Linked DNA regions of Caenorhabditis elegans. The protein of the gene in region 3 interacts with the protein of the main gene of each other region in a biochemical or structural test. Each region holds a gene or a part of one and is shown on either strand. Other genes may lie near its edges.

Region 1 (6,617 bases), on a different chromosome or scaffold from region 3:
ATTGTTTTATTCTAGATTCTAGAATCTAGATTTAACACATTTTTAGCTTAACAAATTTTTCCAGGTTTGCTCCGAAGAATCCATCGAAGAATACGCCCAGTTAATGGAGCAACGTGGTGTTTCAATCTCAAAACTTCGTCTTCTCGATTCTTTGCACTGCCAACATCTCCGATCTCATCCCGTGACGTACACTCAAGAATGCCTAGACTTTGTGAAATCAGGCCATCTACCAGCGAATAGAAGTCGTGTGCCGTTAGAAATAACTGAAGAAGCTGCACAAAATGATGTACCTGAAGAGCTTGCCTACTAGATTCATATCTATAGATTTTTATTGTTTCTCTTAATATTTATAGATGGTAATTCGCATAATTACTTATATATTAATTGACCGGTTCTTCCCATCTCCTTTCCCAACGTTCCATCTCTATGTCCCAGTTTTATTCGCTTTAAAAGCTTTTGCTTGATACTATTGACATTAGATATAAATTATTACTTTTTGAAAGTCCCTGCTATTACACGAAAAAAAGTTTCCTTCCTTCTAAAAAAAACTAAACTAAAAACAGAATCTTGGAAGCGTAAATATTATTTAGATGAGGGGCTCCTTATTACGTATGCCGGTGCGTGCACTTTCTATTTTCTTCCTTTTTTTCTGAATTTTTTATTTTCAGCCAGGCGTTTCCCTTTCGACGTAATTTGTTCTCGAAATCACCTGAAATGTGAATGGGTGGGCAGAGGAAACACAAAAAAAGAGAGAATTCAAATTGATTCTGATGTGATGCCATTTCCACTAATCTCTCAATTCTTACTCCCACCATTTTTTTGCAATGATTTCCGAATTTGTGACTGCTTTTTCGTTCCGATTTCATTTTGATGACCGTGTACAAAAAGATGAGCAGACAACCATAACGAACGCGAAATTGTATGGAATCGTGAGAGACATAAGTATGATTAGAGAAAATACGAAGTTATCAATTATGAGTAGATACTACTGTTGATATTGTAAATTGGAAAGTGAATCACAAATCATGACTATTGGAGACCAATGAAACACTTTCAGATTTATGTTCGAAACTTCGTACCCAACTTGGTTCCGAAATTGGCAAAACTTGGCCAATTCCTGGTTCACGAATGTACAATTCAAAAGCCTCTAGATATCAGCACAAATAAGCCAAATAAAACATGAAGTTAGTAATAATAAAAGATAATTAGCATCGATCGTGTTAGGCCGAATGACTATTCTTATGCAAATTACGGTGTTTCTATGAAAAAATTAAGTGCAAGTGCCGAAAAAAATCTACCAATCAAAATTAACTTTGCAAATGCGATACAAATTCCCAAATGCAATGAACTGATATCTACCGTACTTTCCAAATGGTATGGTACACGGTATGTTACCTTGAATAAAACTTGTTTTGATATCTAGACGAGTTGTTTGGTATGCTGAATAACATGGTAAAACAGTTCAAAAAATTAAAAAATGTTTGTAACTGTAGTCAAAATCTGGCTATTACTAATAATATGTTATCACGTATTACAAATATGAAAGATCTAGGACCGAACATGCAAAAATAGTATAAATTACTTTGAAAAAAAACCTTTTTTTTGCATTGTGCCAAAAACAAAACCTCAAACAATTTCAAAAAGAAAATCAAAATATGTTTAGATTTTGTAAAAATGATCTAGAGTATTTCTGGTCTAGTTGAAGTATGTGCAGACAAAATTCTCGAATGTCATAATCGAACACTCCAGAGTAAAATGTTCATTAACAGTTTTAGTAAATTGCCAAATTTTCCAAAAAATGTTTTCTGGTCGACTTCCAAAATTGGATTTACTGAAACATGAGTTTTTATTACTCTCGGTTTTTATTAATTTGAAAAACCGGATCAGAAAGCTTCAAACCCCTGCAAAAAACGTATTATATTTTAGTTATTATTGGGTGCATAAACAAGATCTATGGGTAAAAGACTAATGAGGTCAGGCCTAAAAAGAATGAAAAACAAGATGAGCTCTGAAAAAGCCAATGAACTTCCAAAAAGATAAGTGGCTGATGGAAAGGCAAATACAGAAGTCAAAGGAGCGGAGAGAAATGAGGGAAAAGAGACGGAGAACGTGAAGCAAGCACACTGACACATTATTTACGGTAACATTTTTCTGCGAACTTTATCCATTTCCTCTCTTTCTCTCTCCATTTACCTTTCTAAATGTCAATTGGGTGGTGGAAAGAGAGAATGAAAAATAGAGAGAATGAGAAACTTCTGGATTCTCTCAATTTTCAATGTTTTCTTTCAATGTTCGTTTGTCTATCTGCGTCTATGGATGTCATGGATCTGGAAAATAGAGAGAAAGAGATAGAGATAGAAAAAGAGAGAAAAAGGAAAAGAACGAGTCAGCAGAGGAAAAGAGACAAGAGTGAGTGTGCGTGTGACTCATTCTCGGGGCCCCCGCCGACTAACCCCCATCGCCATCGTCGTCAACCGATTCGTCATCAACTTCTCTTCCTCTCTATTCAATTCTTATTTGTCAAAAGGTTTTGAAATCAAAATAAAACAAAAATGGAAGAGGATCAAGAGGAACCACCATCCTCATCAACATCATCAGAATCTCCAGAAGTTGTTCTAAAAGCTCCAAAAGCTCCAACTCGAAGAAGGAAAAATTCCAAAAAGGGTTAGTTTGTTTGTCTAGTTCAAAAGTTTTGGAATACTTGATGATAAACCTGTCACAATAGGAAATGGACAATCATGGTTACAAAACTATAGTTTCACTACTATCAAAATGCCAAATTACAACTACCAAACATTTGTGATCTCGTGATTTTATCGTTAATTGATGAAGTTGTTTGTCAAAACATTATATCAATTTGTAGATCTATGTTTAATATGAATTCTTTGAACCCATAAAAAGTTTATGACGCGTGCCAAAAAAAACAGGTGGTTGTTAAAATTGTTTTGTATTTTTCTTAAATGATTTGTAAAATTAAATCATATTGTTTCTTACCAAATTGAAAGTTTTTCTATGCAACAATTTCCTTTCAACTGGACATAAAACACTTAAAAATAGAGTAAACGGTATAATCCTGGCTCCGCCCACTTTTATGAATGTTCATCATTACATTTTAATCATCACAAAAACTACGAGCGAGACTCTAATTCGGAGAGAGACGCAGTGATCGAGAAAAAAAAATCGAGTTGACACGTGATTTTCGATTCCAACGACGCAGCTACTGTAGTGATCGAAGCGGCGCACAGCTTTTCCCGCCCGTTCCATCTGGCAACTGTCTGCGTCTCTTCGTCTTATATGGTCTCTTTTCTTCGAACTGTTTTTTGTTGATAAACGCATATGCCTAGTTTAGCGGAAGTGTAGAGGCATTAGGGTTAGGATCTAGGAACTTGAAACTATATATATATATATATTCCTAGACCATATTCTGTAAACTTGGTAAATTTTTTGAACTTTCATTAAACCTAAATTCTTGATTAATATTTAAAATTGCAATTAACGGTAAAACTATGTTTTTTTGGAAAATCTCTACCTCCTACTCTAGCTTGTCCCCTAGCTTTACTTTGAAGATTTGTATTATTCAAATCCTTCAAAAAAAGCTTAAATATATTATGGTATACAAATCCGACAAACCTCATTTCTCTAAAACCTTCATCTAGAAATTTAACATATTTCAAACCCGACATTTTTTCACAAGAACTACCTAATAAATCACCACAATATGTCTCTCCGCCCTCTCTTGGTTTGAGAGCAATATTTCATTGGTTCGACCTGATTGTGCCAAATGATAAGACTAACAGCTGTTCCTTTCGGAAGTTTCATTATTAGCTCATCAGATCATTTTAGTACACTATTTGGGTTTTTTAAGGTTTTGTCGAAATTTATAGTTAGGTATTTTGAAAACGTTCTTCGAAGTCATATTGACAAAAGTACAATACGAAAATACAAAACACACTATAAGTACAGAAAATTCAAGCAAAAGTTCAAACAATGCTATTTTAAAATTGATTTTGAACGATCGAATGCTATAAAAAATCTAAAATGATCTTACAAATGGCTTATCCCGGCCCTTCGCTTCTCTATTTTACGTCGAATTTCTCGTTATCAAGATTTTTGCAAAGAAGATGTTTAAAAGTTTGTCTTGAAATTTTTTTTAGCTACGTGAGCTGAACTAATTTTCGATGCGTTTATTCTCGAACTTTGGTTTCTTAATTTCCATTTTATCCAGACATATTTTGTTCATTCGTTCTATCCGTTCCCATTCATTTCTTGGAATGAGTCATCGGGCTTTCGTAAATGTTTTGACACACACTTTGCCCCTTTTTTCCTTCCCATCTTTCAGTTTTTAGGCTCTGATTTCTGTTCCATAACATGCATGGGTAATGAGATGAAAGAGGCTATGGCAACTCTTGCGAAACAGTCATATGTTTGATGAAATATTCAGGCGAATCTCTGTTAGTATTTGTTCTCATTTTCTGCAGAAGTTGTTTCAATTTTAGAATGGAACCTGTAGGTAGTTAGTCATTTTGAACTCAGTTTTAGCTAGGTTACCCATAGTAGATCTATCTAGAGAGGTGCATCCTCAGGATCCACTGCCTGCCTCAAACCTACCCGCCCCTCCTGGCTTCATATTTTTGATTCAACGATGTTTGGCGCTCGAATTGTGTTAACTCATGAGTTATTAATATTTCTAGGCACAAGGCAGGCAAGGGTTGCCGTGAAGGCAAGCCAAGTTCCGATGAGGCGCATGAAGCCCTAGTTTCAGCCAATTCCCATCAAACCTGACACTAATCTTTAAAGAACATATTCATGACGTTCTGCTCGTGGAAGACTGATCTGCTCTAATATTTTCTTTTTGATGTTTATCTCTGAGCTTTTCTGGTTCTCTAGTTTCATCTACATTTTCTGTTAGAGAACATCTGAGAATCTTTTTCTTCTTCTCTTTTTTTCACTTTTTCTATTTTCCCACCATCATAAACACAAATTAAAGAACGTGCTTGGATGGAGCATTATGAAAGTTTTTCACTTTCCTTTTTCGTGTCGCGTATTCAAAAACTTTAAACAACATTTCCCACCAACTTTTTCTGCTAATCAGCGTAGTTCCAAGAACATCGTTAACATGTTTTGTTAATCAAATCTAACACGCGTTTCATGATCAATTGATGTTTGTGTTATGAAGTTATCTGAAACATTTTTCTTCATATATATTGAATCTATTTTTTTGTTATGCTTTTCTCGATTCCCGCCAATTTAGGATATATTCTTGTTGGAATTGTACTTCCTAAATGTGCTGATATTTTGGAAAACAATTATTTTCCGGGTCTTTTGATTTGATCTATGATTTTGCAGTGGCTGAATTTTAAATAATTATCAAAGAAATCATAGTTTTTGTAAATATACCTAAAGAACATAACCGTATTTTAATATGGAATTGATCAGAAAATAATCAATCAGTTGTTTCAAGAATCACCAAGAAATGGAAATTTATAATTCTCTATCCTACCAAAAATAGAATCGATTTCAAGTTTTTTCACATAACTAGAAATTTTAAAATAACCACCAGAACCACAGTTAAGGTAAATGGAACACAAAGTTGACTGTAAGGGGTTCGAGGGACGAAAGGCGCCTCGGTCACGCCTCGACCGAGTGGAATGCCTACTAGAAGCACAGCATCAGAGACTGTTCACGACATTTAACAGTTACAGTGATATGGTAAATAACGAATTAGCAATATAATTCTTCCCGTTTGTCTTGAAATTGTAAGCAATTCAGTGTGCTTTCAGTTCATCCTGAAATGTCGGGTTGTTGAGTAGTGAGTCATACTCGCTTATCACCAAAAATGGTTCTCCACCTCCATCTCATTCTCTCATCGTTTCGTTTCGTTTTCTTCTTCTTCGTTTTCCGATTCTCATTCTTCTCTATTTATTTTGTGAATCGATGATGAATAACTCGTTTGATATGAATGTGACACAACATACCAACTCTTCACCATGTAAGGGTTCATTTTAAGAGTGACAGTTTCATTTTCAAATGACACGAATACCAAAAGACTAATTCCAATCTCTGAAGTATTAAAAGTTAACTTTCAGATCGGCGACAGGATATGGAAGTAGATGATGGCGAGAAGGAAAGCACAGCACAGTACTGTAAAGGATTTTATGGTGAGAATTTTGAATATTGAAATGAATGGAAATTTTAAAATAAAAAAAGAAAGTCACAAATTGAGAACTCAAGAATAATCGTTTGCTGATCAAATATTCAAAAAATGGAAATCACAAAGTAAAAACGTCAACAAAACTGTTGTGTGACTGATAAATGAATGTCTTTCTCATCACAATCAGAAGGTGGCATACTACTTTAAAACAATTGTACCACTGTTATGACTGGATGGAAAATGAAAAAAAAACTAACTTAGATATACATAGTCAAGATTTTTTTAAAGTTTTCACCTGAAAAAATTAATTGATTTCAATTTTAAATTTTCTGCACGCCAGAATATCATTAATCCTACACCTAGTACCACAAATTTTGAAAAAAAGTAAAAACTATTTTGAACCGAATTAAGACAAAAGAAATACTCGACAACTTGCCGCAGCTAATTCAGCAACTTCAAAAGAAAA
Region 2 (8,434 bases), on a different chromosome or scaffold from region 3:
CGAGCTCGGCAAATTCGGCAAATTCGGCAAATTTGCCGCACACCCCTGGTGCACATATATCGTTAGCATCCACGAGGAGTAAAGCTATATATGCCTAGTTAGCCCTTATTTAGTATAAACTTTGTTGTATGTAGTTTGATCACGGTCGGTATTATACCACACCACATAGCCAAAACATATTTCTATTTTCAGAACCGAATGCACGAATCAATGCAATTGTTTGACTCAATCGTGAACAATTGCTGGTTTACCGAGACATCGATTATCCTATTCCTTAACAAAATGGACATTTTCGAGGAAAGAATCCGTTACACACCATTGACCGTCTGTTTCCCAGAGTATCAAGGGGGTATGACAATTACTGAAACATCAACCTTCATTCAAAGTCGTTTTGAGATTCTCAATAAAAGACAAACACCCGCTCAAAAGGCAAGTTGCAAGGCATTGATTTAAATGTTTTTTTGCTTTAGGAAATCTACAGTCACTTCACATGTGCCACGGACACAAACAACATCCGTTTTGTGTTCGACGCTGTTACCGACATCATTATCCGTAATAACCTCTATCTTTGCGGTCTTTATTAAACGTTTAACTAGATTAGCACAAATGCTTGGCCTCTTTGAGTCTTTTTTCATTTACTCAGATGGATACTCTCGTTGTCTGCGTATCCTCTGATTCTCTTTACTTACGACTTGTTCTATATTTCTCCAAATATAAGTTATGAGAGAACAAAGTTCAATGATTTTTATGAATCATTGGATATTTTTAGAAAAGCCTTTAAAAATTAAAAAAAAACAATTAATTCTCGAGTTGTGACGTTTTCGTCGCCTTTGTACTTTTTGTTCCACCTATTGTTCTTCTCCCATCCAACTTTAAAAAAAAGGTTTTAGAGTACATTCTTCTCAAGAGTACTTCTATATTCACTGTGAGCCCCTGATTTTACTTTCAACAAATTCAGAACTTTCATAAACATTTCTCATTATTTTTCTTTAATCTTGCATAATTGCTTAAATTTTTAGTACGCCTCAAAACTTTGTTTTTTGTTACTATATTTATCCGTTTGTGTTTAGTTGTTTGTTGTTCAAACTGTTCCTGTTAGTTTTATTTTATAAAATCTCTCAGACTTGATGCTAAATTCCGGTTTTTCAAAAAATAATATGATAATAACAAAAATTCGGAATTCCAAAACCCAAAAGTTCAAACTTACAAAATATCAAGATTCCAAAAAAATATTTTCCATCCGCTTTTCTTAATTCTAGAATAGAATACTAAAAGAATCATTTGAAAACATTTCAAGGCGTCTCTGTTTCTCTTTTTGTCCAAATGTCCATATACTTTATTTCCCATCTTTATATCAAAAATCTTTTACTACCCAAAAGTCGATTTTCTGTTGTCCAGCCCACTTTTCAGTCTTCAAACCTCATCTTTTACTGAATGTTCAATTTTTGTGAAATAAATGTACTTATTCAAGACCACCATTGTCCATCTGTGTGATTTAATGTCCGGTCGTTCTGGATTCCCATTTTGGCTTCATTTTGTTTTTGAGAACAAAAATTAAAGCATCGTTTTGAAGAAAAAAAACCTATAGGTCTCCCAGCTAAGTGAGGCGCGGACTTCACGATCGGGTTCCCTGCCGCACTATATATTCGGATACATGCACTGTGATTGACGCTGTGAGGCCGGCGCGGGCGCCGCTGTGGCGACCTCATAGGGGACCTGGTCCCTAAAAAATTAATTTATTGATTTAGAATTTTGAATTTAAACCTGACAATACAATCGAAAAACAATCCCTACTTTATAATGAGATGCAAATTTTGTGGAGCTAAGGTTCAATTTCTTATACTTAAAACAAAACAGTTCCAAAAAATCTGTATTCCAAAATAATTAACATTTAGTGATTATAATCAATATAGAAAATAAGCAGAGAATCACCAGAAAATATGGCCAACTAAGTGACAGAACACAACTGAAAGATAGATTTTTGAAGAAAAAAGTAACACAATTATTTTTGAGAGAAAAAGAAACAATTTTAGGTTTTTTATTATTTATTATCCAGTGAAAATGTCGTGGTCGGCTTGATAGCGTTGCACTTCGTTGAAAATTAGCTCTTTCCATTCAATAAGTGTCTTATCGGCAAAATCAATTTCCTGATCGTATCGATTTTCTGATGCGGGGGCGTTTACCTCATCGTCCTGTAAGATTTGAGATGCATGATTTGATTGTTTTTGTTTAGTGCTAAAATTGTTGTACCTTAAACCACAACTTAACATATGGATGATTCAGTGCATCTTCAACTGAATACCTTTCTTCAGGATTGATTTTCAACATATTGAACAGGAGATCACGAGCCACGTGTGCTGAAAATATGATTTATTTTTCAAAATCCTGTATAGCCTGACTCACGTGTCAAATGGACCCTTGGATTTTCAGTCTCCGGCAGAAAATTGGTATCAGGAACGATTTCACTGAATGCTCGTGCCTGATGACGTGGCAACGATCGAACATACATAGCAGCTGACTGACCCAATTGACTAATGAAATGATCATCTGGTGTTCCCAAAACACTATAAATTTTAGTCCATTGATCAATTCGATCTTTTCCAGGGAAAAGTACGGTATGGTTGATCATTTCAGCAAATATACATCCGACTGACCAAATATCTACTGCAATTATGAATTGAGAGTGTTGTTTGGAAGCGGCCGACACGTTTGGGGTTTTACGCGCACTTTACATGCGGATACGTACGGCGTGAGGCTGTTTGAGGCGGCTCACCGGAGCGCAGATGGAAGTCCAGCCCAAAATTACAAAAATTTTTTTTTTTTTCGAACAAACCTTTTTCCGAATAGGGAAGACCTAATATAACTTCGGGGGCTCTGTAGTATCTTGTCACCACATAATCTGACATTCTCATCGATGTGTCCACATTCTTCTTCCGGGCCAATCCAAAGTCTAAAACTTTTAATACACATCGATCGTTGACGACAATATTCGATGGTTTTAAGTCCTGAAACTTTGAATTTTTCAGAATGTTGTCTATAGTGGTAGATACGTACACGATGAATGACTCCCGAATTGTGAAGATGCTTGATTGCGCACAAACTCTGGTAGACGAAGAATGATAATGTTTTATGGTCCAATCTAATAATTCAGAAAATTTTTTTAGAATCTAATTATGTGTTTATATTCAATATTCAATCATTGAATCATTGAACAATCATGAATAGGAGCTCAAATGTGCAAGTGTTCTAAACTTTTTTAAAAATTCTGATTTTTGGTAGTTAACTAAAATCTTGACCAAAAATTTTCAAAACACGCTGGAATATTTTTTTTATTTTTTTACGCGTGTTCTGGTAGCTAACTGTGCGTGTTTTGATGATGGTTTCGGCACATTTCCAAGTGGGTACTCAAGGTTGGATAAAAATGTATTTCCGACCTTGGGAAACGCGAAAGACGGCAAAATTGAAAGTCTAGCTTTTGCCCTTGTTTCTTTCTTTTTTTAAAAGTTTTTTTTGTTGAAAAGTGTCAGCAATAAACTTATTATTATTGTTGAATATGTTTATTAAACGTGAAATTGAGACAAAAAAGGTTGATATTTTGGAGTCGTTCTGAGTTTATTAGAGCAAAAATGAATCCGCCACTCCTTCTTTAAGATATCGTGCTTTTCCTATTGTTTTATTTTTATTCTTTTGTTCTCAAAATCAATAACAGAAAAATAATATTTTACGTCTATTAGTCTCTAACAAGTCCATCATATACAGTTTAAATTACGTCTAGTATACTAGATATTACTATAAAAATTGGTATTACTGAAAAAAAATCATAAAAATCAGCCACCATGTCTCTTACCTTAATCGATGTATAACCTCGTGCAAATTGTGTGTCATTAATTCCATAACTAGATATACTTCTCGGAACGTTGAAAGTGAAGTGTCCGGTGTAAACGCGTTTAGTAGACGGATTATCTGAAATTTGGAGCATTTTTTCTAGATTCCAACTGAATCTTACATTTGGGTGTTTGATAGTCGTTAGCAGTATAAACTCTCGATATGCTCGCTTTGCGCTCATTGTCATCACAAATGGTTGTTGCATCTTCTTGATTGCCACACGTTGCGTTGTTACTAGGTCATCGGCCATTCTAAATGTAATCAATAAAAATTATGGCTGTTCACTTAACTTAGAAATTCTGTTTGAAGTCATTTGCGCGATAATTTAATTTCAGTCACTTTCATTCTTCTAGAAGATCTTCTTGATTATTGATTTTTTCAAGCTTTTTCAATCTTAGAGGTGGAGCAGCGGGCAATGACGAATAACAATGATCTCGAGACCTCTACCTGTTTTAAAAGTTTTTTGATAGGGCGGTCCGTTTTTTTTCGGGAAGTCATCATTGTGTCAGTGTTTGAAATTACGCAAAACCGAAGAAAAGTTAAAGTGTAAAAATATACAATTGAAAGGCAGTGAGACATTCAAAGATGGAGTACGACCAGAGAAAGGATTCTCTGAAACCAGCCATATGTTTCTAAAATGACTAAAATTCATAGTTCTTTCAAAAAATTTATTTTATCTTTTGGTATTTGAACATTATTGGGGCTATAATTTGCAGTAAAGTGTGAAATGTTTGAAAAAGTAAAAATTATTCGAAAATTTGGCAATCTATCAAATCTTTGATTAACATCTTTGAAGTGTTAATATTTGTTTGTCTATTGAAATTTTTTGTTTACTGCGTTAAAAAATTCGCCCTATTATTTTTCCTTCAATAAAATATTAATGTAATTAGTAAAAACTCACACGACAGTTCCTTGGGCGCCGGCATTCAGAAAACTAAGGTTTACATAACGAGTTGGAATAGTGAAAGTGCTGTCCGCGCCGGCTATCGGGTCCTGAAAATGAATTTGAATGGAGGTAAAGTATCTAGTAACAAACCCTAATTGTAACTTGATGAAATCTAGACGCATCATACTCGTTATGTACCGGCAGATCCACTTCCATCTTATTGTGCCTAAAAAGTTATTAGTTTCAGGGAGAAATACTTAAAATTCAAAAATTAAATATAAACGTTAGTCATTAAATTTCAGCTTTTCTTAAATTTTTAAAAGTATAATTTCAATTTCCAAATAAACGTTTGAAAAAATCTATAAAAATTTCATAATTCTTATCACTTGCAAAAATGTTTCTGATTTTCCTTTCCAACCGGAACTGATAAAAATGCCTTAAAATTGTTGAGTTTCATCAAAACTGAGTCATTTCAACCCACGTAGAAATCAATAAATCTTAAAAACGGAGATTCTAACAGTTTGGAAAATTATTTTCTTTCCAAATATTGACTTTCCATTTCTGGAGTGAAAAAAAATGAGGGAGGGGATATATGTACATATTGTTAGTGAAATACAGTTTTCATTTTTTGAAGTGCAAACTAAACCTGACAATGTTTAAAAAATAGACTAAAAATAGAAAGATATGTAGTTTAATAAATAATCTTTGCAGCTAATCTTTAAATGTTTAATCATAACTTTGGATTTGTAATAAAGAAGTCATTTTTTAACATTTAATGAAATTTCAGCGTTTTTGTTTGGGTTTTTATGTTTTTTAATCGACTCATAAACTCATATTTCATATTTGCATGACGCAAAAAATGTTCACACTTCAAAAATTTGACTTCAGTTGTGAATGATCTTACACTTTTTGCGCTTGGTTTTGAAAGGATGTTCGTATTTAGGAAACAAAAGTCAACACTAATTTCAATGGAAAATTTAAATATTTTAGGTATCAAGTTGACTGGAATGTAACATCCAATAGTGTGTTTCTTTTTTTTAAACCTTTATTATAGAAAAAATACGATCGTACAAAAATAAACAACGACGCAATGACACTCCACCGTTTCTAAACCCCGCCCAAGATTTCATTTGCACTGAAATGTGTCGGCCGCAGTGCAAATGAAATCGTGGGCGGGTCTCAGAAACAGCGGAGTGTCGTTGCGCCGTTGTTTATTTTTGGGCGATCGTATTTTTTCTATAATACTCTAATTACTTTTTTAGTGGGATCACCACCAGGCAGTGTACCTGACTCCCAGATCCGCAGTGCATAGCGCTTGAAGAACGGATCGTCCTTTAATCCTTTAATCCTTTTCTCACGAACTCTACAATAAATACACGGGTTACTCGAATGGTTTATTCTAGCAATAGTTCGAGTTCGGGGTAATTTTGAGGTATTTGCTGTTAATTATTAGTGAAATACATAATACTGCATCGAGATAATTGAAGTCTATTATTCTCAACAAGTAAAATTCAAACTAAAATTGTATTAAAAAAGCAGGGGAAATTTTTTATTTTTACTTAGATTCGAAAACTTGAAGAAAAAAGGCAGTATACCCAGCCTGCCAATTTTTACTTTTACACTTTAAAGACACTTTAGATTTTGTTTTTTTTAAATCATAAATAACCTTTTTAAAAAGTTATAATTAAAAATTAAATAGTACAGGAATGATCTATATACATATATATATATATAAGTTGACAATGCGAAAGAGAGAAATAGTGTAGGTATTAAAAGTTACGTCACTGAGTGAATGTTTGTGTGCGGAAGAGAAGCGATAGGCTGAAGCCAAATAGGAGATGCAGAGAAATAGAGATTTCATCCTTCAGAGAGAGACACACCTAGGATTGAAAATGTGTAGAGAAGTAGAGAATCAGACAGAAAAGAGACACCACTCTGTTTTGGAGAATAGAGTTGCCGTAGAACAAATCGACCGCCTATAATAAAAGCTTTGAAAGTAAATTCTATAAGAAATAAGTTTAATATGTACGTTTTAAGTTTTAAATATCTTTTTCTCAATTATTAACATTTATGACAACTCAAAGCGCTACCCAATTAACTTGGGCCATGAAATCTCGTAGGTGCCTAATCTCCCAAAGTCGTGGGTCCACATTCTGTGTGGTCTTTCCTGTGGGGTTTTTTGGTTGTTCTTTACAATTGTTAAATAATACTTGATTTTGTCTGTTTGTTTCTCTAATTCTTTTCAATCTCTGCATTATTCCTTAGATTTCCCATTTGTTAGTCATCGGAAGTGATAACTCGATGCTAAAATGAAACACAGAGATAGTGAGTTGGATAATTTTAAATTATAAGGTGAAGTAGTGGTTTTTTTGCCATAAATGACAGAATACAGTCCCAATTTACCAAATATAACTGTTAAAAAATCAAAAAATAATAATAAATTTTTTATGATTTTTTCAAAAAGGCCGATTTAAATTTGAATTCTCGCACAAATTAATGGCGTCATTCTCGACATTTTGTGTTTTACGGCCAAACTAATTGGTTTTTCTTTATTCTTACAATTAGTTTTATAATTTGAAACATAATTTTTCAATTTTTCAAACATTTTTCAAACTTGATAATTGCGAAGAAACTTACCGAAACTCTGAAATTGGCTTAATTATTCAAAATTAATCATACATTTTCTTTTAGTCTGAAAAATTGACAGACTGTATTTCAAATTATAAAACAAAGGAAAAATGAAGAAAAACCTATTAATATAGGCTGAAAACGCAAAAGTTTCGAAAATGACGTCACTCATTTGCGCGGGAGTTCAAATTTAATTCAGTCCTTTTTTTTAAATTTTTGTAAAATTAAGAAAAAAATCATTAAAAAATTAGAAAAATTTCATACATTTTCTACATTTTTTAACAGTTATATTTAGTATATTGGGTCTCTATTCTGTCATTTATGGCAAAAAACTTACAGACGCTACTCCACCTTTAAATTTGGAACTTCTATGTATATTCTTTGAACACTTACCCAATAACCACAATCATCTCGTTTTCTTCCGAGAATTGTGAAATATTTTCGTAACAAAAATAATAGAATACTGTTTTTATGAAATTTACTTCTAGAATCCAATTTTTGGATGAAGGAGACAATTTTGTAAAGATGCACACAAATCGAATTAGTGTACTGTACAAAAGATGTTCTATATTACTTTTTTCACTGATCAAACAATAATAAATTTCATTGGAAAAATAGTTTTGAATTTGAATTTTTGTCTATCCTAACTACCTTTTTGAACAATTCTTCAACGCAAAAAAGTTTGTATCTATTTAAAAAATAAAAACTTCTTCTCAAGAAAATTATACATAGAAATAAAAAAATAGTTCCTTGAAAGAGAGATGAAAGTACAATGTGGTAAACAGCAGTTATTCGTGTTTTTTTTCTGAGAATGGACGCGTGTGCTGAAATATCAGAGAACATTAGGAAAAGTGGCCAAATTTTATCATTTTCCTGAAAACATCAAAAATAATTTAAACTTCTGGAATACCACAAAGAAAACGAGAAAAAATTGGGTAAGAATGTAAATTCATTGTCGAAAAACGTGATTTTTCAATGGCAGGGTTCTCTGTTACACGTTTGAACTTTCGAGCCAATCAGCGTCTTCAAACTCCA
Region 3 (9,582 bases):
TAAAAAAGTAAATTTGAAGCTTTGCTCACGTTTTGGGTATCAGCATATACTAGCTAGTCCACAGATATTTCAAATCTTTTTTAATTCAAGTAACATGTTTTCAAGATTTTTAAAGACTGTGTTGCGACACTGGGGAACCTATTTATTCAATTCAGATTTTTAAAACTGTAACAACTGCTCCATCTTTGAGATTTAGGAAATATTTGAAATCGTAAAGTGAATAAATTTTAGACTAAAATATTTGTTTCCCGCATAAAACTAAAATATCCTGTTATTACTGTTTCTTCCCGAAAACACCTGTATCCACCGAATAGTACAAGCATGTCGCGTGGTAGCTTTCATTCTCCTTGTCCCACTTCTCACTTCTCTCTCCAAATTTCTTCTTTTTTTTTCCAAAATAAAAATTCAAATTCCGTTGTCTTTTCATTTCGGCACCGGTACGCACACACCGGTATCACGTCATTCAAGAAAAAGGGAAAAGGTGGAAAAAGTGCATTTTCTGCGTCTATTGTGATTGGAGTACTATCTAGGGCACGATCGGGAAGAAACAAGGGAGTAGAAGGAAATTGAAAAGATTTGGGAAAAAAGAAGTGTGAAACTGTTGTACTGTACAAACAGAACATTTTGAATTTTAAACATCAGAAGCTGGAAAAGTTTCAGAGATTTGGTAGTCTTTTTATTGGAGCTTGGAAGTTAACATTTCATGATTTACTGGCCAAAACGTCCCCTGATTTAAAATATTTCGAGTAAATTGATGAATTATTGAAAATCTTTTTGGAGATATTTGTAGCTCGGTTTTGAACTTGTAAATATTTTTAAAAAATTTCCGTAACGGGTAGTCATATTGAAAATATGATAAAATGTTTTGGAAGCTGAGCTTTTTTGAGATCGCATCAATATAAGTTCCTGGCTCTGGTAAATCTATTGAGCTCGGTGTCAGTCTAATCAAGATCGATGTCAGCAGAAGCTGGCTGTACAGCCCTTGATTGGACTGAGTTTCAGAAAGCTCAAATGTTGTTTTCAAAATGCAACCTAGCTTCAGATCATAACGAAAGTATAGCATGTTTCATAGAAATTGGAAATACTTTCTTGAAACAAGTAAATGATTATTTTGCACCCAATGTTTGATGACTACCTCATGTCTTTCATTAGTATGGCATGCAATTTCAAAATTTAAATTATAATATTTCCTCTATTTGTCCTCTACTACTCTACTGCGCCATTTTAAAAAAGTAACAGCTCGGTCCATTGTGAAGATATTAGTGAATAAGTAAATTCAAGCGACAGACAAATAATTTTTGAAAAATGTTGTCAGTTGGCAATTTCTCAATAGAACAAATGACAACTGATATAAGCTGTAAACGTTTAGATTTTATTTTATTTGAGCTAGGCCCCTCTCATCCAAAAAGGTTATTAAAAGTTTATTGCCTGTTAAATTTATAGACTTAGACATCCATCCAAATATTTAAATGTTGCTGTTGCTTTTGGGTCAACAAACGACACATACCTGTTAGTGTCATCCTTCGTTCCGCGTGCACGCATCGCACTGAATCATCGGTATTCATCACCTCTTCTCTGCAATCAACGAGCCAAATGCCAATTGGGTTATTTGAGTTAGAAACTCGGGAAGCTTCACAGAAGAAATAATTAGCTGAATTGGCAAAGAGAGCACCTGCTCCCCGGAATGTCATACTTTTGTAGAATAAAAGAAGGGAAGACGACGACGTCTCCGGTTCTTCTATCCCAAACAATACCATTTTTTGTTTCCCATCTCGTCTTCGATGTTGCTGACTCACCATCAATATCTAAACAGAAAGCACCCAATGGTTCGCCTTTTTTGTCTCCTTTCTCGACAGTTTCTGTTTTTTTTTGTATGTTACATAAATACCGTACACCCACCATCTAGTCAATTGTCACATATTCGAAATCAAAAGTTATCAAAAACTCTCGTGCACTTTAATACACAGTTCCGTCGGCCACCCCGTCACCAGCCGGCGTTTTCTTGGTGATATCATTGGCGGTGGCTCTTTGAAAATTCAAATTTGGTGTCGTCCTCCCGAAGGTGTGGGCGGAGCTTGCGCACCGTTCGCGGTGGCCGTTGCTCTCGACAGTTTTCTCTTTCCCTCGCTCCTTTCTTCTCTCAACCAAACACCTGCCCACACACGCAACTTACTTTTGTCATCGCTGGTCCCCTGTCCAAAGATACAATCAACCCGTGTTGTGCTAATCATCACCTAGAAGAGTCATCTTCGTGAATCAGAATCCCTTTTCTTCCCCCTACTTTTTCCACTTCTATTCCCGGTTACTCACCTTCTGTGTTTGGCCCCGATCGTGTGTCAGCACCTCTGCTATATAAGAGAGTGGAATGTTCGAACAACCATCGTCGACGACTAACACCACCACGAGCTCTGGTTCTGGCTCCGATTCCAATCACTACTTCGAATTGGGTCCCAGGAACCCGATCAACCAAGCGCACCCGACATCAGTCATTGTTCCACCGCGACAACATCACCATCAGATCCACCAACAACAAACCGACAACTCACCTCTAACTCCGTGTACACCATATTATCCATCAAATGCATATGGACTCCCTTTATTCTTTGGAACTGATTTCCTGCAGGTATGATACATCACAAATATCTTCCTTAATTCAGTGTTTACTTCAAAGTCCACTATTCCCTTGCTAATAATCACGAGTTTTGATAGAGCTTTTAAATCATTACTTTCACTCATTTTTCACTCAACCTCGAGCCTTACATTTGTCAGTTGATCTCTTCTTTCCCATATAAAAATGAGATTATAGTAGCTTACTTTCATTTAGTTTAATATTAATTCTGAAAGTATCAAACCAAAAAGTAAAGCGTTCACTAATTCTTTTGTGCAAAAGTCATGCAGAAAAAAGTTACCTAGCTCTTGAATCTTTTCCCTCAAAAATGTTCTTACCAGCCATCTCCCCCGGATTTTAGTTCCGGAAAAATAAAACTATTTGGTTATGGATTAAATGTATATGGATAGGTGGTGCACGAGGAATCTTAAAAGAAGATGCCGACGTGTTTACACACTTCTACAGTAATCTATCTATCTTTCACCTTTCCCCCAATTGTTACTTTTGTGATCTTCTTTACCTCTCATGCACTCGCTAATCCGTTTTGGATTGTTTCCTGTTTGCACCTGTTGAAAAAAGATAAGTAATACTTATATGTTAACTTTTTTCGGTGCCAGTGAAAATATTACAGGCACGCAAATTTTTTAAATATTCAAAAAATATCTGTCACTTCTGCTTTGAGCTTGGGACCTACGAATAAAAAGAGATCACGTGTTTTAGCGTTCCTTCTTTGCGCTGACAACTTTTTACCAGTTTTCTTAGAATTATTGTCGCTGAAGACCAGACTTACAAAAATAATTTTTGAGCTTTATTTGTAAATAAAACAAACTTTAACAAAAAATGTAATAAACTGGCAAATGTGAACTCAGAACAATTATATTCACAGGTATTCTATTTCATTTTGAACATGTAGGTGTGAAACAGTATTCTTTTCAGTTCTAAATCAGTTTAACCCACTGAGAATTTTGACAAATGACGGTGAAAAAGGAAGAGTTGATAAAAAAATGATAAGACAATTGAAACCTTTTAATTATCAATTTCCAACACTTACTGAAAGAAAAACTATTTCTAGCGAACGCACCAATGTAGAATACCCATCTTTCTGCTTTGTTGGTTTTTGATAGGCTTTGATAAGTAGATTTTAAATTACCGTATATCTTCTATTAATATGGCCTCCCTATTAGACTTGCACTCCCTATTAGTATTGCCCCTCGGAGACCTTCCGAAAATTAGTATTGCACTCCCTATTAGTCTTGCACTCTCTAATAGTCTTGCGTTAACTTTTTTGTATTGCAAACCCGTCTCGCTAATTTCAGGATTTCAACAACATTTTTTGCCTATTTGGCAACAGTTTTCACATCATTTCTACGAGATTGAAGTTTTTGAACTTATATGAAAATCAAATTTTCTGAATTTTTACATATGATTCGAGCTTTTTCAGGAAAAAACTAGTAAGCTCAAAGTCAGAAAATGTTCTGAAAATTAGTATTGCACTCCATAATAGTCTTGCACTCCCTATTAGTATTGCAAGCGGGAAGGAATCGAAAAATAGTATTGCAGCCATATTAATAGAAGAAATACGGTATTAAATTATCAAAATTTACGAAAATATTTGAAACATATTTCATCAGTTGGAACAATACAGATATAATTCGCTGAAATAGAGCAAAAAGTGAAACAACTTTTTTATATTCTGAGTTTTACATAAATGTTTTCTTTTAATTTTTGCTTGATGTAGGTCATCAGGACAACGAATTCTGGTTATTACGGTTCATTTTATCACTCTACGTCTTTTGAAAATTTTTGCTTATACTGCTATCTAATTGCCAAAAAAAAGATTATAGTTTTTGAAGTGTCTTGAGTCGTAAACCATCTCTCTTTCTTCACAGTCCGCCTTTAGTCCTATAGTCAATCGTCAAACAAATACCGTATTTCCTCCTAGAATGGGCGGGGCGTTCTTTCCCCCTTCACCTATACACACACTTCATCATCTTCATCATCACTGCCGTTCCACTATTTTCTTGATTTGCTTATCAATATCATAATACTCATTGCTCACTCACCTCTAGAACTGCAAGTGTCACGTCATTACATAATGACTCATCAGGACGTATCATGGATGTTTGGGGCGAACCCATATGACGATAGTTACAATTTTAATTATGGATATGAGGAGGATGTAAGAGTTTAGAAGTTGAAATTAATTAAATTGAATTAAATAGGTAGAATAAAAAATTGTGGAAGGAAGATATATAGATATGCCAAATATTCGTGCTATAAAACTAATTTCAGTTCCAACCATCTGATATCCCATCTCCGCTCACACCGAACATCAGCTCGCCACTTACGCCACATCCATTTGGTAAGCAAGAGATATAATTAAGGTCCACGAGCATGGAAACTTCAGGTCCGATCCCAGCAATCCCGACTAATCAAATCTACAATCGAACATTCACCGATTTCTACTCGACGGCAGCTTCATCGCCTATGGTACAGTATAGCACGGTGAAGAAATCGTCGGCTGGGAGAAAACCTAAAGAAGAGGTGGGCAAGTTATCTACAAGTTATGGGTTACTTAGTTATGGGTTAGTTAAGTTACTTACTAAAAATTTGAATTATTGTTTAAAACCGAGTTGCTGCTATTCTAGAATATCCACTACTACACTTTAGCAATTTGCCGTATTTTTCCTACTAGGCTTGCCCCCTCGTTTTACCTTGACAGAGCATATCCCAGTTCTCTTTGGTTTTATCAAAACTTTGTCAACTCACAAAAAACGTGCAAAATATTTTTTTATATTATGATAGTAAAACATATTCAATAAAGCTTATGACAGCCGCGATATGAGCCGTCAAAGTATAGCAAAAAAGATTGTTACGTATTTTTCTCTAGTTTTTAAAACATGATTTACAATAATAGTTCAAAAATACGTCGAGATATATGAGCCAAGAAAGTTTTTTGAAAAATTTGAATAATTGGATTTCAAATTAAAAAAGAAAAGATAAGCTCCGAAACATTCAAAATACAATATTCTAGCATTGACATTTTTTACAATTAAGCGATTTGCGTCAACTTGAAAATTAAAATGCCAACTTGAAAGTTCTTCATGCTTATTTTAAGTAACAAAGTTTAGCTCGCCGTATTCACTCAATAATTTATTTTTGATAGACAGCCATTATAAAGTTTAAATGACAAAACTCACTTTTTGAATGTGGTATATGCCGGCATGACAAGCATGATTTTTGAATATTTCAAAACTTCAGTGGGGCATTTTTGTAAGTATAGCCAGAAATAAATATAAACGAACGTATTGGGCGAATAGCTGCTTTCTATTACAAAAATATAAGAGTTTGCGATTAGAAACTTGAGACACAGTAGACAAAAACAAGTAGGCAGGTATGAGAACTAGGCAGTGGGTGGAGATTCGAGTGTGTATGTTCATGGCAACACCTTCAACTCCTCTCAAATGACTCACAGTTTTCATTTTTCGTTTTTGACTCATACACTGTCCCATAGAACGCTCTCAAATTTCGTCATCATTGCAAGCCAAAGCTAGTCATTCGAATCTGACTCATTTTCACTGAAACCTCTCTCTGCTACTCTAGTCTATTTTTTTTTTCAATTCTTGTTTCCAAACATTTCGGTGTTTCTTCAAACCGTTGAGATGACGTGGCAGTATCACAATAAAACTGCGATCTATATGGTAAGATTGATGGAGCTTTGAAGGTTGATACGACCTTGCTTATGTATTTTTGTGATGGTTTCATGAACATGCAAAAGAAGCATCTAGAATTAACAGTGGCATTGCGAAATTAGTCACCACTAACGTACTGATAACAATTAAGTATGACGCGGAAAAAATAGAAGTACTGTAGATTAACGTTTATGGACGAGGGAAGTTACTATGGCGGGTAGGTCAAAGCAATTATATATTGAAAGGGGTTTGTACCATTTCAAGTTAGATTTCCCTGATATCCTTAACCTGGATAATACGGTCATTTTTGGTTTACCAAAAAGTCTTTGAATTTTGAAAAATTTCGAAAAAAAGAATGTAAGCCAAATAGGAAAATTACGGTATTCAGTGGAATTTACCCATAATTTACATTAGGTTTGCCGACATTGAAAAGTTACTGATAAATCTAAATTTCAAAATTACAGTAGACTTTGATTTTTTAGTTTAATTTTGCTCTAAGTTACTTGGTTACTTTTCTAACTTTCTGAGCTTGGCAACTTTTTCTTGTCTGTTACGCTTACCTAGAAATACATTTATGAAAAAAACATTTAGTTGAATTAGTTTTGCTGAACAAAAATTCCAACCCGAGCCTTCAAAACTGATAAAGTTAAAATTTGCAGTAGTCAAACTTTGGGCACTACTCATAATATATTTACAAATTGAATGCTCTTGCCCTTCTTTCGTCCATTTCTTTTTTCATTTTTAGATAGACGCCCTTTCCTGCCCACCAGGTACACTATGCAAAGTAAATATATTAGTCATCACGCAATATTGTATCTACATCCCTCGCTCTTTCGTACACCCTACCTTCCCAGTCTTCACCTAAAAGCTTAGAGAGACACCCACCCCAAGCAGAGGGGAAAATGAGCCACTTGACAAGAAATATAACGAAATGGATAATCTTTTGAGTAATCAGAGAAAATATTAACAAATCCTCAAAATACGGAAACTTAGAGTCAATGATTTTCAGGATAATATGGAGGATGACGATGATGATAAGAGGCTGAAACGTCGTCAAAGGAATAAAGAAGCTGCTGCAAGATGTCGGCAAAGGAGAATTGATTTGATGAAGGAATTGCAAGATGTAATAGTTTTATTCAAAAATAATTACATTCACCAAATAAAAAATTAGGATATTTTAATTGCAGTGGGGTATCTACCTTTAGTGAACACTTAAATTTTGAAGCAATTTTCAGTTAAGCATAACTCAAAAACTATACAGCTTCTCTAAATACTTTCAACAAGCAAAATGTTGATGATAACTTTGGCTACATTTTTGCCGTTGGAAAATTGTTAGCAATCTCACCCTGGAAAAAGTTATAGCAGCTGACAACTTGCTGGCCCAGTTTTGACTATTTCTATTGGAATCTTCTTAACTCAATAACAGAACGTTTTCATAGAAAACAAAATTTAAAATTGATTGCAATGTTCTAGATTCAGAAATGCCGGTAAAAAATTCAAAATTTTAAATATTTCAGAAAACAGTTTTGGGCCTAGTTCCAAGAATTTAGTAGTTTTTATAATTAACTTTCAAACATTTTTTAACTTATAAATTCACTATGATTTGCAATATATTTCAGTTTCATTTTGAAAAAAAACCACACTTATAGGTTTTTTTAGACTTCAAAATAGGAAGTTTCAACATTGTATTAAAGATAAATTTCACGATCTATTTTCAGCAAGTAAATGACTTCAAAAATAGCAACGACAAAAAAATGGCGGAATGCAACAACATCCGAAATAAGCTCAACAGTCTCAAAAACTATTTGGAAACGCATGATTGTAAACTGAGTCGCGAAGAACGAACACATGAGATAAATCGATTGATAATCCCACCATCAACAGTTCCACCATCACAACCATATCTTCAACATTCGTTGAGAGTTCATCCACCACGTGCTGACTCTGTACCATATTCTATTCGATCAGGACATTCATCTTCATCGTCTGAACAACACTCACCAGTTGAGGACTATAAGCCTTCAATTGATCAATTACTTCTTCCTCCAATCTCATGTATTCAAAATATCAAAGATCGAAATATCAATTCTATGCCACCACCAGCTTTACCGGCAAGCACGAGTGCTGCTGGAATTCATGTTATCACTTCTATCCCGGTTTCGCATGCCAACTCATTACACGGTCGTTCGGAAAACGTTTTCGCAGAACCGGAACGCAAAGTGAGTACATTCATTTTAATTTATTGAATCTTTTACATTACATTTTACTTCAGATTCCAAAAATCGAGTTGGACCAAACACTGACATCATTGACCATGCCAGACGACGTTGAACGTCCGTCAGCTCTTCCGACGCTTTCCAGAATCGTTGAAAATCAGCCGATCACTACTCCCAGCAGGCCTTTCCGTCTCGGGGGGGAATATCAAAATCAAACACCGCAGAGTACAGGGAATGGACTATTCGGAGGCCCACCAGGTAGTTTATTTAATCGGATTGTAGCCAATGAATAAAAATTGTATTTTTTACAATATTGCAATTCTTAATCCTAAATCTGAGTCTCATCGCGAGCAAAACTTTTCAGCTACCGTACCCGAGCTCTTCTAGTTTCTACCAATATTTTCACGTGGTGTCAGTCTGTACCATCACGGGTTGATCTACAAAAAATTCGGGAATTTATTCCCTTAAAAAATGTGACGCCATCACGTTCTTAACCATGCGATACTTGAAGTATGCGTCTAAATTCCCGCGATTCTCGGAGATCAAACCGATATAGGACACTCTGACACCACGTGTATTTTGAGATATCAATATTGCAATAATCATACAAAAATTGGAATATTTTGAAAAAACTCAACGTTAAATATAAAAAATGTTAAAATTGGAACTACAATTGCGAGTACGGTAGCTGGAAAGTTGTTGGCGTGCCAAGACCCAGAAATTTGCATAATTTTAATTCAAATGCCGATATTTCTACAATATACGAAAATTTTCTTAAATTTTTCCAGTTTCATCCCGGGCTAAAAAGTGTTATTTTTATTTCTCAAAATATAATTAACGATTTTCATTCCAGGCCCATTCGACTTGCTTTCCTCCAACACTGGTCTGACACCTTCTGGTCAGCCAACAATGAACTTCGTTTCAACTCCAACCCCGATTCAACCACATCCGGATGCTGATCTCCGACCACTCTAGATTCCGATTCAAATCATTTTCTGTAGCGTGCATTTGTAATTTTCCCCGTCCAGCTCTCATTATTACAAAATTTCATACAATTTCCCGATTT

What was found.
Region 1: of the proteins of fos-1 (region 3) and jun-1, one has a biochemical effect on the other in vitro, tested with the Caenorhabditis elegans proteins (one study listed by BioGRID).
Region 2: of the proteins of fos-1 (region 3) and kgb-1, one has a biochemical effect on the other in vitro, tested with the Caenorhabditis elegans proteins (2 studies listed by BioGRID).

Annotation. Positions count from the first base shown.
Region 1 is NC_003280.10:9,110,739-9,117,355, forward strand, and holds the start of jun-1 (Transcription factor jun-1), read left to right. Parts: upstream 1-2,418; 5' UTR 2,419-2,552; coding exon 2,553-2,664; intron 2,665-5,878; exon of another isoform or gene 5,879-5,937; coding exon of another isoform or gene 5,938-5,989; intron 5,990-6,086; coding exon 6,087-6,158; intron 6,159-6,617. Other genes in the region: T24H10.4 (Transmembrane protein 53), read left to right, coding at 65-310. UniProt on the Caenorhabditis elegans protein: Transcription factor that recognizes and binds to the AP-1 non-canonical enhancer heptamer motif 5'-TTAGTCA-3'. Required for ovulation. Controls plc-1 expression in the spermatheca to regulate spermathecal valve dilation.
Region 2 is NC_003282.8:403,900-412,333, forward strand, and holds kgb-1 (GLH-binding kinase 1), read right to left. Parts: upstream 6,135-8,434; 5' UTR 6,058-6,134; intron 5,974-6,057; exon of another isoform or gene 5,863-5,973; intron 4,998-5,862; 5' UTR 4,988-4,997; coding exon 4,922-4,987; intron 4,879-4,921; coding exon 4,787-4,878; intron 4,137-4,786; coding exon 4,007-4,136; intron 3,964-4,006; coding exon 3,848-3,963; intron 3,140-3,847; coding exon 3,055-3,139; intron 3,006-3,054; coding exon 2,834-3,005; intron 2,665-2,833; coding exon 2,404-2,664; intron 2,358-2,403; coding exon 2,251-2,357; intron 2,193-2,250; coding exon 2,049-2,192; 3' UTR 1,722-2,048; downstream 1-1,721. Other genes in the region: gpa-4 (Guanine nucleotide-binding protein alpha-4 subunit), read left to right, coding at 193-429, 471-584. UniProt on the Caenorhabditis elegans protein: Mitogen-activated protein kinase which is an essential component of the JNK pathway composed of mlk-1, mek-1 and kgb-1.
Region 3 is NC_003283.11:6,006,201-6,015,782, forward strand, and holds fos-1 (Transcription factor fos-1), read left to right. Parts: upstream 1-2,365; coding exon 2,366-2,623; intron 2,624-4,492; exon of another isoform or gene 4,493-4,547; intron 4,548-4,900; coding exon 4,901-4,970; intron 4,971-5,015; coding exon 5,016-5,152; intron 5,153-7,080; exon of another isoform or gene 7,081-7,203; intron 7,204-7,309; coding exon 7,310-7,423; intron 7,424-8,018; coding exon 8,019-8,519; intron 8,520-8,572; coding exon 8,573-8,774; intron 8,775-9,369; coding exon 9,370-9,491; downstream 9,492-9,582. UniProt on the Caenorhabditis elegans protein: Developmentally regulated transcription factor which binds and recognizes the enhancer DNA sequence 5'-TGA[CG]TCA-3'.